2 linked regions of the Drosophila melanogaster genome follow. The protein of the gene in region 1 interacts with the protein of each later gene in a pairwise test. Each region holds a gene or a part of one and is shown on either strand. Other genes may lie near its edges.

Evidence for each region. Proteins that work in one complex are often made in the same cells at the same time.
Region 2: the proteins of nemy (region 1) and Prim2 interact in a two-hybrid assay, tested with the Drosophila melanogaster proteins (one large-scale study listed by BioGRID).

What each region holds. Positions count from the first base shown.
Region 1 is NT_033778.4:12,666,483-12,672,393, forward strand, and holds the start of nemy (no extended memory), read right to left. Parts: upstream 3,738-5,911; 5' UTR 3,405-3,737; intron 1,513-3,404; 5' UTR 1,472-1,512; coding exon 1,353-1,471; intron 1-1,352. Other genes in the region: GLS (glutaminase), read right to left, coding at 4,694-5,911.
Region 2 is NT_037436.4:20,358,741-20,363,445, forward strand, and holds Prim2 (DNA primase subunit 2), read right to left. Parts: upstream 2,846-4,705; 5' UTR 2,768-2,845; coding exon 1,166-2,767; 3' UTR 1,093-1,165; downstream 1-1,092. Other genes in the region: CG5665 (uncharacterized protein), read left to right, coding at 37-296, 349-1,080; Toll-9, read right to left, coding at 3,300-3,507, 3,569-3,696, 3,767-4,705. UniProt on the Drosophila melanogaster protein: Regulatory subunit of the DNA primase complex and component of the DNA polymerase alpha complex (also known as the alpha DNA polymerase-primase complex) which play an essential role in the initiation of DNA synthesis.

The DNA.
Region 1 (5,911 bases):
AATACTGGGTCAGCAATTGGCCGTGGAGCGGGAGTTAGATAGGGAACCTCATCAACATTCATCTACTTCATAGAACATGCCCACTCCTACTTAACCGCAAAGACAACAAACACACCCTGGGACTTTGGGTCATTATTCCGGCTCCTTGGAGCCCATAAGCCAAGTGGGTATTGTGCGGGCACCTCGCCCAAAAATTACTGGAAATCAAATGAAAATGAAATGAAAACGAGGCGGCGAAAAGGTTGAGTCCTCGGGAAGAGAAGGAAAAATACCAGTAATTACTTGAAGCTTACCAAGCTTCGTGCCAGAAATTGGACAAGGACATGGCCAAGGGACGTGGGAGAATGGAGGATTCCGGGCGAAATGTTTACGGCCAGTTACTATGTGAGTTGGGCGCACGCGATCAACTGTTGAATTTGTGGGCCTGTACGGGTTACAGGAAGGATGTGTCCGGCTTTTTGTGTGATTTGCAACGAGGTCGCATTAAAATAAAATTTACGACTTTCAAAGATACGTGAATTAGGAAATTGGCGCGTAAAAATAACCGGGACCTCCTGAAAGGGTGTGTAGGCGTCGACATTTCCCGTTCACCGTCATTGTTAATTAGTCTTTGGGGCAATTCCTGACGTGCTCGGGCACTATTTCATGTAAATATTACACATACGCCGCGTGGTGCCATTAAAATCGATTAAAGCCAGCGTACGAATAGCCGGGTATCTAAGTCTTTTCATGTTTTACATATCTCTCATCCCAAGTTAGAGCTTCCAACTGGCAGATGAGCATCGCATCGGAGATGGGCAAGGCCAATTGTCGGCTAGACAAGAGCTCCAAATTGGCCTCCGGGGAAATTGGTCTCTACGTTCTTGTGCCCGCCTCGAATTTGCTATGCATAAGTGACACAATTTACTTAAATATTGATAAACAAATGTGTTGGGGAATCTGTTGACTAAATTGTGTTGATTAGCTGGGCATGGGGGATTAATTGGTCGTGTGGTAGAGAACTTTTTAAAATATAACCGAAGAAATATAAAAATATTTAAAAGTAAATAGCATAACAATAAAGCATCTTCATAAGAAATATAATTATTCTTCAAACCCTAAGGCTTCGTAAATATTCGAAATGCTTATTGTATCTATAATTTTAAATCTTGCTCCTATTATTACAAAAATAATAAATTTAACACTTAGCTTTCCTCGAACTGATGAACATTTAACTTAAATTTTCTTAAGATTTTTTTGTGGCAGGCAATCTTTGACCATCTATATCACACTTGGTCCTACATAAGAGCTGTTTTAATATTTAAAGCAACAGACTTTACACAGATTCACGGTCTATTTTTGGCTCAACTCACTTTTCATCCGGCGGCGGGGGCATCTCGATGCCATTGGGAGTTCCCGGGGGCGACTTCTCGCTGACCCTGTCCATGGCCTCCTCCATCGGCGGAAGGGGACTCACCGAGTTCGTGTCCATGTGAAAGCAATCAATTTTGATGCCTCTGCTCCGCTGACTGGCTGCATTGCGAGAAGAGAAACGTTTATGAGGCTGGGCATTTAAATGTGGCATTTTAATAGAGAGAACAACAGAGCAGCAGCAGGATTCCGATTCAGATTCAGTTTCTGATTCCACATCCGCAACTCTGCATAATAATAGGGGGTGTAGCTCTCATCTGTTGATGAATGGCGGCGCCGCCATAAGTCTGTATATATAGTTCTGTACAATATATGGGCCTTTCGAATGGGGAGAAGCAAGCATTATAAGCGGGGAAGTCGCTTTTCATGGCGGGAAGTGGAAATGGCTTTTGGCATTTATTTTTGGCGACTCCACAAGGTGGCAAAAGTGCAGCGTCAACTGAAGTCCAGGGCATTGCACTTGGCTCGCTCTCTGTTTGTGTTTTTTTTTTTTTGTCTTGCGGATTTCGTGTATTTTTTCCGCCGCCTCTGCCATGTGTGAAATTGGCTCATCACACGTCCGAATGCGTTCTGCAGAGAGCGCCAATTTCCGATTCACGTCGCCCGTCATGTCGAAGATACTCCAGATACTCCAGATACTCCAGATACTCCTGCTTAGAGTGTGTGTGGGTTCTTTCGTTCGGCGCCCTTTTCCTGCTTTCCCACCAATCAATTATTATTGGACGTTCTAGTTCTTGGGGGTTCGTTGAACTCGATGCAGAGACACTTGATGGACACATCAATGCCTGGCATTTGCTGATGCCGAAGCCAACTTCCTTTGCCCAGTCAACCAGTCAACCGGCAACCGCAGTCCGCCCCTTCATTCCGAAATTCCTGCGAATCGTTTGCATAGCCCACTGTCCCTATCCACACACTCACACATGTGTCCAGTTCCCACGGAACTGGACGATGGGGATTGACATTCCCTCTGCCTGGATTATGCTGATTATACAGGTCCCAACTCAAGGGTATTATTAGTAAATGAGAGAGAGACATGTTCGGGTTACGGGTGCATGCAGTTCGGTTTTGATTGGAATCACCAAAGGCTCTCGCCCTCAGTCATTTGATTCACTCTTTTGGGGAGCAAAGTAAAGTTCTCAAAATTATAAAATTTGATTACTTTGAGTAATATTCGGAAGATTATTTAAGCTTTGTAACAAGTATGTATTGTAAGTATTTCTAGCTAAAAAAATACAAAGTAATATAAATACAAAGTAATATTTTGTGTAACCATTAATGGTTGGTAGCGTAGCATATGGAGCAGTTGCTTCCATTATTATTAATAAATAAATAAGATTTCTTTGTTAATTATTGAGTTCTCACACACCATGAAATTCTATAATAGCTTTGTGTGATTTGTTCTTTAATTAATATGAACTAATTAGCTGGCGCTTTAAAAGCTTTTCTAGCCTCCTAAGTACATGTCCCCCAAGAAAAGAATCAAGAATTTCCTATTAGATTTGAGATCTTGTTGTTTCCAGAGGGCAGACCCACTTACCAATCCCCAATCGCTGTGGGCTACTTTCTGGAGAGGAAGCTGGACATTATGCAATCCCGCAGCTGCTGACGCTGCCCATAGCTGCGCCAAATGAAGCAAACAAACAAAGCGAGCGGCCAAAAATCCACTCACAAAAGAAGGGCTCCAAATATTTCGAGGCCCGGATATGCAGACTATGACTTGTGCAGAGAGATTGTCAAGGGGAAGGGGGGGGGATGCAGAAATCGGGGCCTGGGAGACGGAATGGGTTGGGATGGAGGCTGCCTGGGATGCCTAGTCTTCCCACAACAGACATCCTTTTGTGGCAGGGACTTAATAATCCGATTTGGGTCTGGCGAAATCTGTGCTTTATGCACTCTTATATGAGAAACCAGCTAGCAAAGCGGAAACGGAAACGATGCTCCTGTTGTTCTTGCCACTCTCGATTTGCTGTCTTTGCGGCAAAATGTGAACCTACCCCAAGTTCGTGTGGCGTGTGACGGTGCGGTGTCAAAAACCCTTTTCAATGAAAACTTAATTACTCTATTATGCACAAACTCTCCGCGCGAATGGTGTATGCGCTTAATTGGATTTGCGGCCGCTTCAACGAGCTGGAATTTAACAATTTTCCACAATTAATTCATCTGCCCGAACGCGAACGGAGTGCATCCCTCCTCCGGCGGAGATGAAGCGGCCTGCAAGGGAGCTGACGGATGATGGAAACTCCGCAAACAAACCGGCACGGAACACAAACGCTGTGAGTCAATAACACATTCACGTCCGAACTCCACGAATGCTGCGAACGAACTGAGCCATGCGGCACTGGGAAAACTAACCGATGACATGCCATAATGGTGCTATAATCCAGCTTCGTGTCTTGTGGCTTCGTGTAAAATACGTTCGGTTTTCAAAGTTTATAGCACATACGTGTAGAAGGGGAACGAGTTATTTACATGAAATGTAGAATAAATTGATTGATGAAAAAGTGTTTGAATTAAATACATCGATTTTGAAACCCCAAAGGATTGCCAATGAATCAATTCTAATTTTCCTGGTTTGTTTAAAAATATCAATATAATTTAATTGATTTATTCAAACACCATTTAAAACAGGATTGAATGCAAATATAGAGTTCATATTTTAAAATTTTGATGTTAATGATTAAAAAGGTATAATTACGATTGCTCTAAGAAAATTAGTAAGTAAACATCTTTTATTTATTATTCTTATATATCATGTATAATCTTCCAACCTCAAAAGACCCATTAAGTAACGATATGCCATATATTGTGTGCGTTTTCAGCTAAACATGTATATATTCAATTGCCATCAAGCAAATATGTATATCTGAACTTACATATGATCTTTTTAAACGGGATTCTTAATACACATTCAAACGCATACAAATATCAATTGACAAGTACGAATGCAATACATTTAGGCAGGTCACAGACCCCAGTTATGTGGGAAAGTTAGATATCCGTTAAGATTATTGTCATTGTTTCGTAGGATAACATGGAATTTTTGTGGCTAACTAAGCGCTACCAAGTACAAGTACAAATGCCGCTCGTGCAGTGGATCCGCCTCGAAGGATCACGACTTGCACGTGGGATGACTACTACAAATTATATAGGACTAACCAAGCAGCGTGAACTGATGGTATTTTGGGTACTCTTAACTTTAATCTAATACATCATATATAAACTAAAATGTTGTGCGAATAATTTAGTCAGAGAGATTCGGCTGGGATCCTGGATCTCTGTACGCTTATAGTCCCGGCTTGGTTTTGTCATCGATGCTGCTTCCGGCGCTCGCCGTGCTGCCCGCATCCGATGGCACCGGGCTGGACCGTCCTGATCCTGCCCTGGATCCGGATTCCACGGGAGTGGGAATGGGACTGGTTGTCGGACTGGTCTCCAGGTCGCTTGTGCTGCAGATTTCCTGGAAGGTGAAATTGGAATTCAGCTTGAGCATTTCATATAGATTTCTGGAATTGTGCCCCAAAAGGTCCCCCGTCGTTAAACTTGCACATGGACTTGAGCCTGGACTTGAACCTGGACTTGAACCTGGACTTGAACCTGGACTTGAACCTGGACTTGAACCTGGACTTGAACCTGGACTTGAACTTGAGTTTGAACTTGAACTGACCTCATCCGCTTGTGTCTTGCTGGTCACCGCCTCGGGCTTGCACTCCTCGCTGGACTGGTCGGCCTTCTCCGCCCAGGAGCGAAGGAACTCCACCACGTGACAGTGGCCGAAGTTCTCTGCCTCATCCACGGGCAGATTTCCCCAGCGATCCTTGGGGTTGTGTGGTACATGACACTGTTCCAGCAGGAACTTGACGCACTCCAAGTGTCCTTCGGACGCAGCCAAATGGAGGGCAGTGCGACCATCGTAGTCGGCCAGAGTGATATCCATTCCGGAGAGACGATGACGCCGCAAGGCTGTAACATCGCCGCTGGCAGCTGAAAAGAGTAGATTCACGATGGACAGACCCTTGGTCTCGTAGCGGTGCTTCCGCGGATCCTTCTTGTTGGACAGATGCTTCAGGTTGTCGTAGCGATGGAAATTGAACATGGAGACCAGCTCCTCACAAAACTGTAGTCCTCTCACTGTATTGCCTAAGTGATCCAAGGGCGGAGACCAGGCAAAGATGCCCATTACGTTGGGGATGACCAGCATCATGCCGCCACTCACTCCAGACTTGGCTGGCAGACCCACCTTGAAGGCGAACTGTCCGGAATAGTCGTATGTACCGCATGAGTGCATAATCGAGAGCACATCCCGGATTACCTCCGGCCGGAACACCTTCTCCTCGGTGGTGGGGCAGATGCCACCATTGGCCAAACTGGCCGCGATTACGGACATTGCCTCGCAGTTGGTCTCCATGGAGCAGCACTGGAAGTAAAAGTCCATCACCTCCTTGAGATTGGTGCGCTTGGGGAAGCACTTGTTCTCCCGCATGTAGAAGCCCAGGGCATAGTT
Region 2 (4,705 bases), on another chromosome or scaffold:
AAAAGTTATTTGATTTTATTGTGATCTAAATGCCAGGTTCTTCCACCCTCTTTATGGACAGAATCCCTGCGCAAATCACTCCGGACATAAGGAAGATGCATTTTCAGTACATGACGCCGTGCCAGAACTACAGTGTGCCCCTGCTGGAGGCCTCGAAGCTGTGGAAGCACTCTCGATTCAGCAAGGGACGTAAGGTGGTAATTCTGGCCACCGGATGGACCAACACCGTAAACGAATCCTCGGCCATTTCGATGATCTCTAAGGCATTCATGTGTCGTGGCGATGTGAATTTTGTGGTTCGTCTCGTGAATCAATTCTGAAAGTTCATATCTAAGGCTTCCATCTCAGATTGTAGATGCGGCTGACTATGTGGACACCTTCTACGCGTGGTCGGCGCTGAACACGGATTTAATTGGAGAGCATATTGGAGTTGGTCTGACCCACCTTATAGAGCTGACCCCACTTCGAAATATTCACTTGATTGGTGGGTTCATAAAGGAATCCTTTGTGTCCATAAATTCTGGTTCTGATTTCTTTGTAGGACATTCACTAGGAGCTCACATTATGGGCACTGCTGGTCGGACTTTTAAGAAGCTTACCGGAAAACTTATACCCAGGATAACTGGCTTGGATCCGGCCAAGCCATGTTTCAGGCGGGAAAAGATTCTGCCAGGATTGACGCGTGGCGATGCCAAGCTAGTGGACATAATCCACACCAACATTGGTATTTTGGCCAAGCGTGGACCCCTCGGTGATGTGGACTTCTATCCCGGCGGAGCACATCCCATCCAGCCAGGCTGCCTAACCATCGGATGCTCTCATACCCGAGCCGTTGAGTATTTCGCCGAGAGTGCATATCCACACCAAGAGAAGAACTTTATGGGCAAGAAGTGCGCTTCTTGGGATGAGCTAAGAAAACGGGATTGTTCTGCTGGCATAGTTTCCCCGATGGGCTATCGAATGAATCCCCAAGCCAGGGGCATCTACTACGTAGATGTCAATGGCTGGCCCCCTTACGGCCGAAACTCGGAGAACACTGTTGATCCTAGGCTTAAAACGTGCTACTTGTGCCGGAGGTGAAGTCCGAACCATGGAATAATATAACTTTTCTTATTTACGATGCTTAAATATATATGTACCTTAGTTAATTTATGTTGTACAACGTTTAGTAATCGATTTGCGTAAGATCTAGATCATCATTGAAGGCCTCGGATATGTCCTTTTGGCTCTGCATGATACGCTCCTGGGTTTCCGCGATTCGCCACAACTCATCGTCATCGTCACCCATCAGCATGGACCGATCCCCATGGCCCTTGATATCTGGACGGATTCTGGCCTTGGGCGGAGCAGAACCATTGGCGCGCTTCTGCCGGTTGCCCATCGCTATCTGGCTCTCCTCGAAGTAGTTGTTGGGGTGATTGATGCTCGGCTCGACGGGTGAATTGTGGGTAAGTTGGAAGTACTTGCCGCATCCAATTTGATAGTGACCGCGGGACACAAAGAACATCACCTCGTCGATGGCACTGGCTGACAGGCCATAGGAGGACAGCTTGGTTTTCAACGAGCCCTGATCCATGTTCTTATACGGACAGCCGTGGCAATCGCCCGGCCCCGCCACATCCTTGATAATCTTGGCGCACGAGTAGGGTGTGTAGTTGACCATGGAACCCTTCTTTCCGTAGTTATGGTAAATATTGTACTCGTAGCTGCGTGTAAACTTATCCGCGTCCATTTTCTTGGTAAACTCTTCGCGCCAGAAGCGCAGCGAATCCTCCAGTGCCACGCCAATTCCTTTGAGAAACAGGCCGTATTGCATTCGGCCGCTATGTTTTATGTGATGGTTGGCACGAATGTGCTCGTGGCACATGCGCATACACAACGGCATGGAGGTCTTGGAGAGCTGATCGAGCGACTCGATGGGCACAGCTGCATCCCGACAAACGGTGTAATCCCTACCGGTATACGAGTTATGTAGAGCTTTAAGTGTGCGGGAGATGCGCTCGTCGGCTTCTACATCCTCCACCATAGTCTTAGCAGCCTGCAGGCCTTGCTCGATCTCGTCCTGCTGCTTGGTGCCCACTAGGGACACCAGGTCGTGGGTGTTAACATAGGCGTAGCCAGCCTTTAAAAAGCAGCGACGTCCGCGCACCAGATCGAGCACCTGGGTGAAGGGCACCTTGTAGAAGTCCAACAGCTCGATCTTCGCCACGCTCTGTCCGACCGTGCTCTCGTACAGGCCGTCCTTGACTTCGTCCTTCTGGGCCTCGGTGAGGGGGTGAATCTCAAAGCCGTTGGCCTCAAGGAACTGCTTCACCTCGAAGCTGCTAAGTGCAGCGAATTTGTACCGGAAGAGCTCCATTTCGCGGGCCACGAACCAGCGCGCAAGGTCCTCGGAGCGGCAGTAGGCCAGCCGCAAGATGAAGTGCGAAAGATAGTCCCGCCTGCGGGTCTGGATATCCGCCTCGTGCTTGGCGCTTCCGCCGGTGGAGCAGAGCCTTAAATAGCTGCGCAATCCCTCGCGGGTCAGGTCCGCACTCACGATTTCCTTCCATTCATCTGAGAGCACGCGCAGGTTCCGGGTGCTTGCGCGATCCAGGACGCGGAGAAGGCGCAAGCGCTCTAGAGCCAGCTCCTCGAATTCGTCTATGTGCACGTCCTCCGTCGGCGGATAGTGGTACAGCATGACGTTGTGCGGGTACTTGGTTTCCAGGCTGGCCACCTCCACCTTCACCTCATGTCTCGCGCGTTTCTTCAGACCAAACTCCATTGTGAGTCGCGGGAATTGCTATAGTAATTTACAATTTGTGGAATGCCCGTTTGTTGTTTTGGCGCGCAAACTACTGATGGCAAATATCAGCTGTGTCAGTTGTTATCGATAGTTTTCTGCTCATTATCGATGCTTGCGGTTTATTCAATTTGTATTTCAAAATTAAACGTTTTTAATTGTTATTATCAGTCAATTGGTACTGATGTATTGATTGTGTGTTGCATTGTTAGATATTTCTTAGGCCTTAGCTTTGTTTACATAGTGTCCAGTAGTAGTAGGTTATGTTTAATATACGACGCTATTGCCTTTGTTAAGATATTTCAAAAACATCACATAAGCTCTTAAAAACCTAAATACCTTTATTTATTAATATATGTTTAAACTATACTTATGTTCAGCAGCAAATTTTGCATATTACTATGATTACTGTGGGGAAACTTTCGTCTTCATGAAAGTGTAATTAAGTAGTTTATATACTATATCAGGTACGTGCACAACTGACTAGAACTCTCCGGATAAAATTACATGTTTTCTAAACACTGATCTCTCTGGAGTTGATCCCTATGACCTCCAGGGATCTCTTCAGACGTTTCCAAAACAGCTTTCGATCCTCCTTGGCCGTCGGCCACTTTATATACGTTTTCACATCCATGAGATATTGCAAAGTCTTGGGTCGCTTTCGCCGTGGAATGTCCTCCAGAAAAACCAGGATCAAGTGCTCCTTGCTGACCTCAAAGATGCTACAATATACACACATATATTGATTTTAATATTTGAATTTTACAGATAAAGATTCCTTACCGATGCTGTGCCAAATACATTTCAAATTGACACCAATGACTCAACAGGAACTTGGAGGATATGATCAGCATAAGGGAATACGAGCGATCCATGCAGGAGATGATGTTATCTAGGATGGTCACTCCAATCTGCATGTGAATTAAGGGTTAAGGTTTCACTTTATTAGTAAGTTAATGTTGTAAGATAAGTACGCTTCACCTGAAAATCTCTTTCATGCAGACAAATGGACACATCCCCAGTTTCCTCCACGTTCGGCAGCAGTTCATTGAGCACCCAGGTCCGATCATTCTGGCAGTAGCTGATGAAGATATCGTAGACGGCACTGGGATCTCTCTGGGATATGTTTGTGAATTTATTCACCGACTCCTTGGACGCACTGGACAACAAGGCAGCGGACTTCAGGGAAGAGTAATAGTAGTGGATGTGCCAGCGCTTCAGATAAATTATAAATCCCAGGATGCAAGCGCCAACTAAGCTGCCCATGACTGCGATCACTGTGTTCGTAACGTGGTGCAACTCCTCGGCGAGGTCACTCATCGACCTGATCTGGCAGTTGAGCTCATCCACCTGGAGCTGATCGGTGTTGTTGAAGCAGTAATACTGACTGGCCTCGTAGTCGAGCAGCTGAAATTTTAGGGTAAGATCTCCGTCAAGGTCCCCTAAGTGGTATGGCTGGGCCGCGGAGCACTTGGCTACCATGTAGTCCTCGGAGGAGAAGCGCAGCTTGATTATATGATTCGCGCGATTGAACTCCCTGATGTTGGAGTAACTTCTCTGCAGCCAGGGAATATAGCGACTCTGCCATAGCTTGCGATCTATAATTAGTGACTCCGCCAGAGATATTACCTCCTCACCTACGGCATTCTGACTATAGTTCAGCAGTCTATAGGAGCAGTCTGCATCTTTATTATTGGCGGCCGCCACCTCCACCACCGCTCTCAAATGGCAGTCGCAAATAAAGTCGTTGTCCCCGAGACTAAGGTAATCCAATCGCTCAAAGTCCTTCAACATCTCGTTGGACAGCATGTTGATGGTGTTGCTTCTCAGGTTCAAAACCCTTAGGGCGGAGTTGTTGTGGAAGGCACTGCGGTACCAATTGCCCACATGGTTCGAGCTCAAGTCGAGGATCTCCAGGGA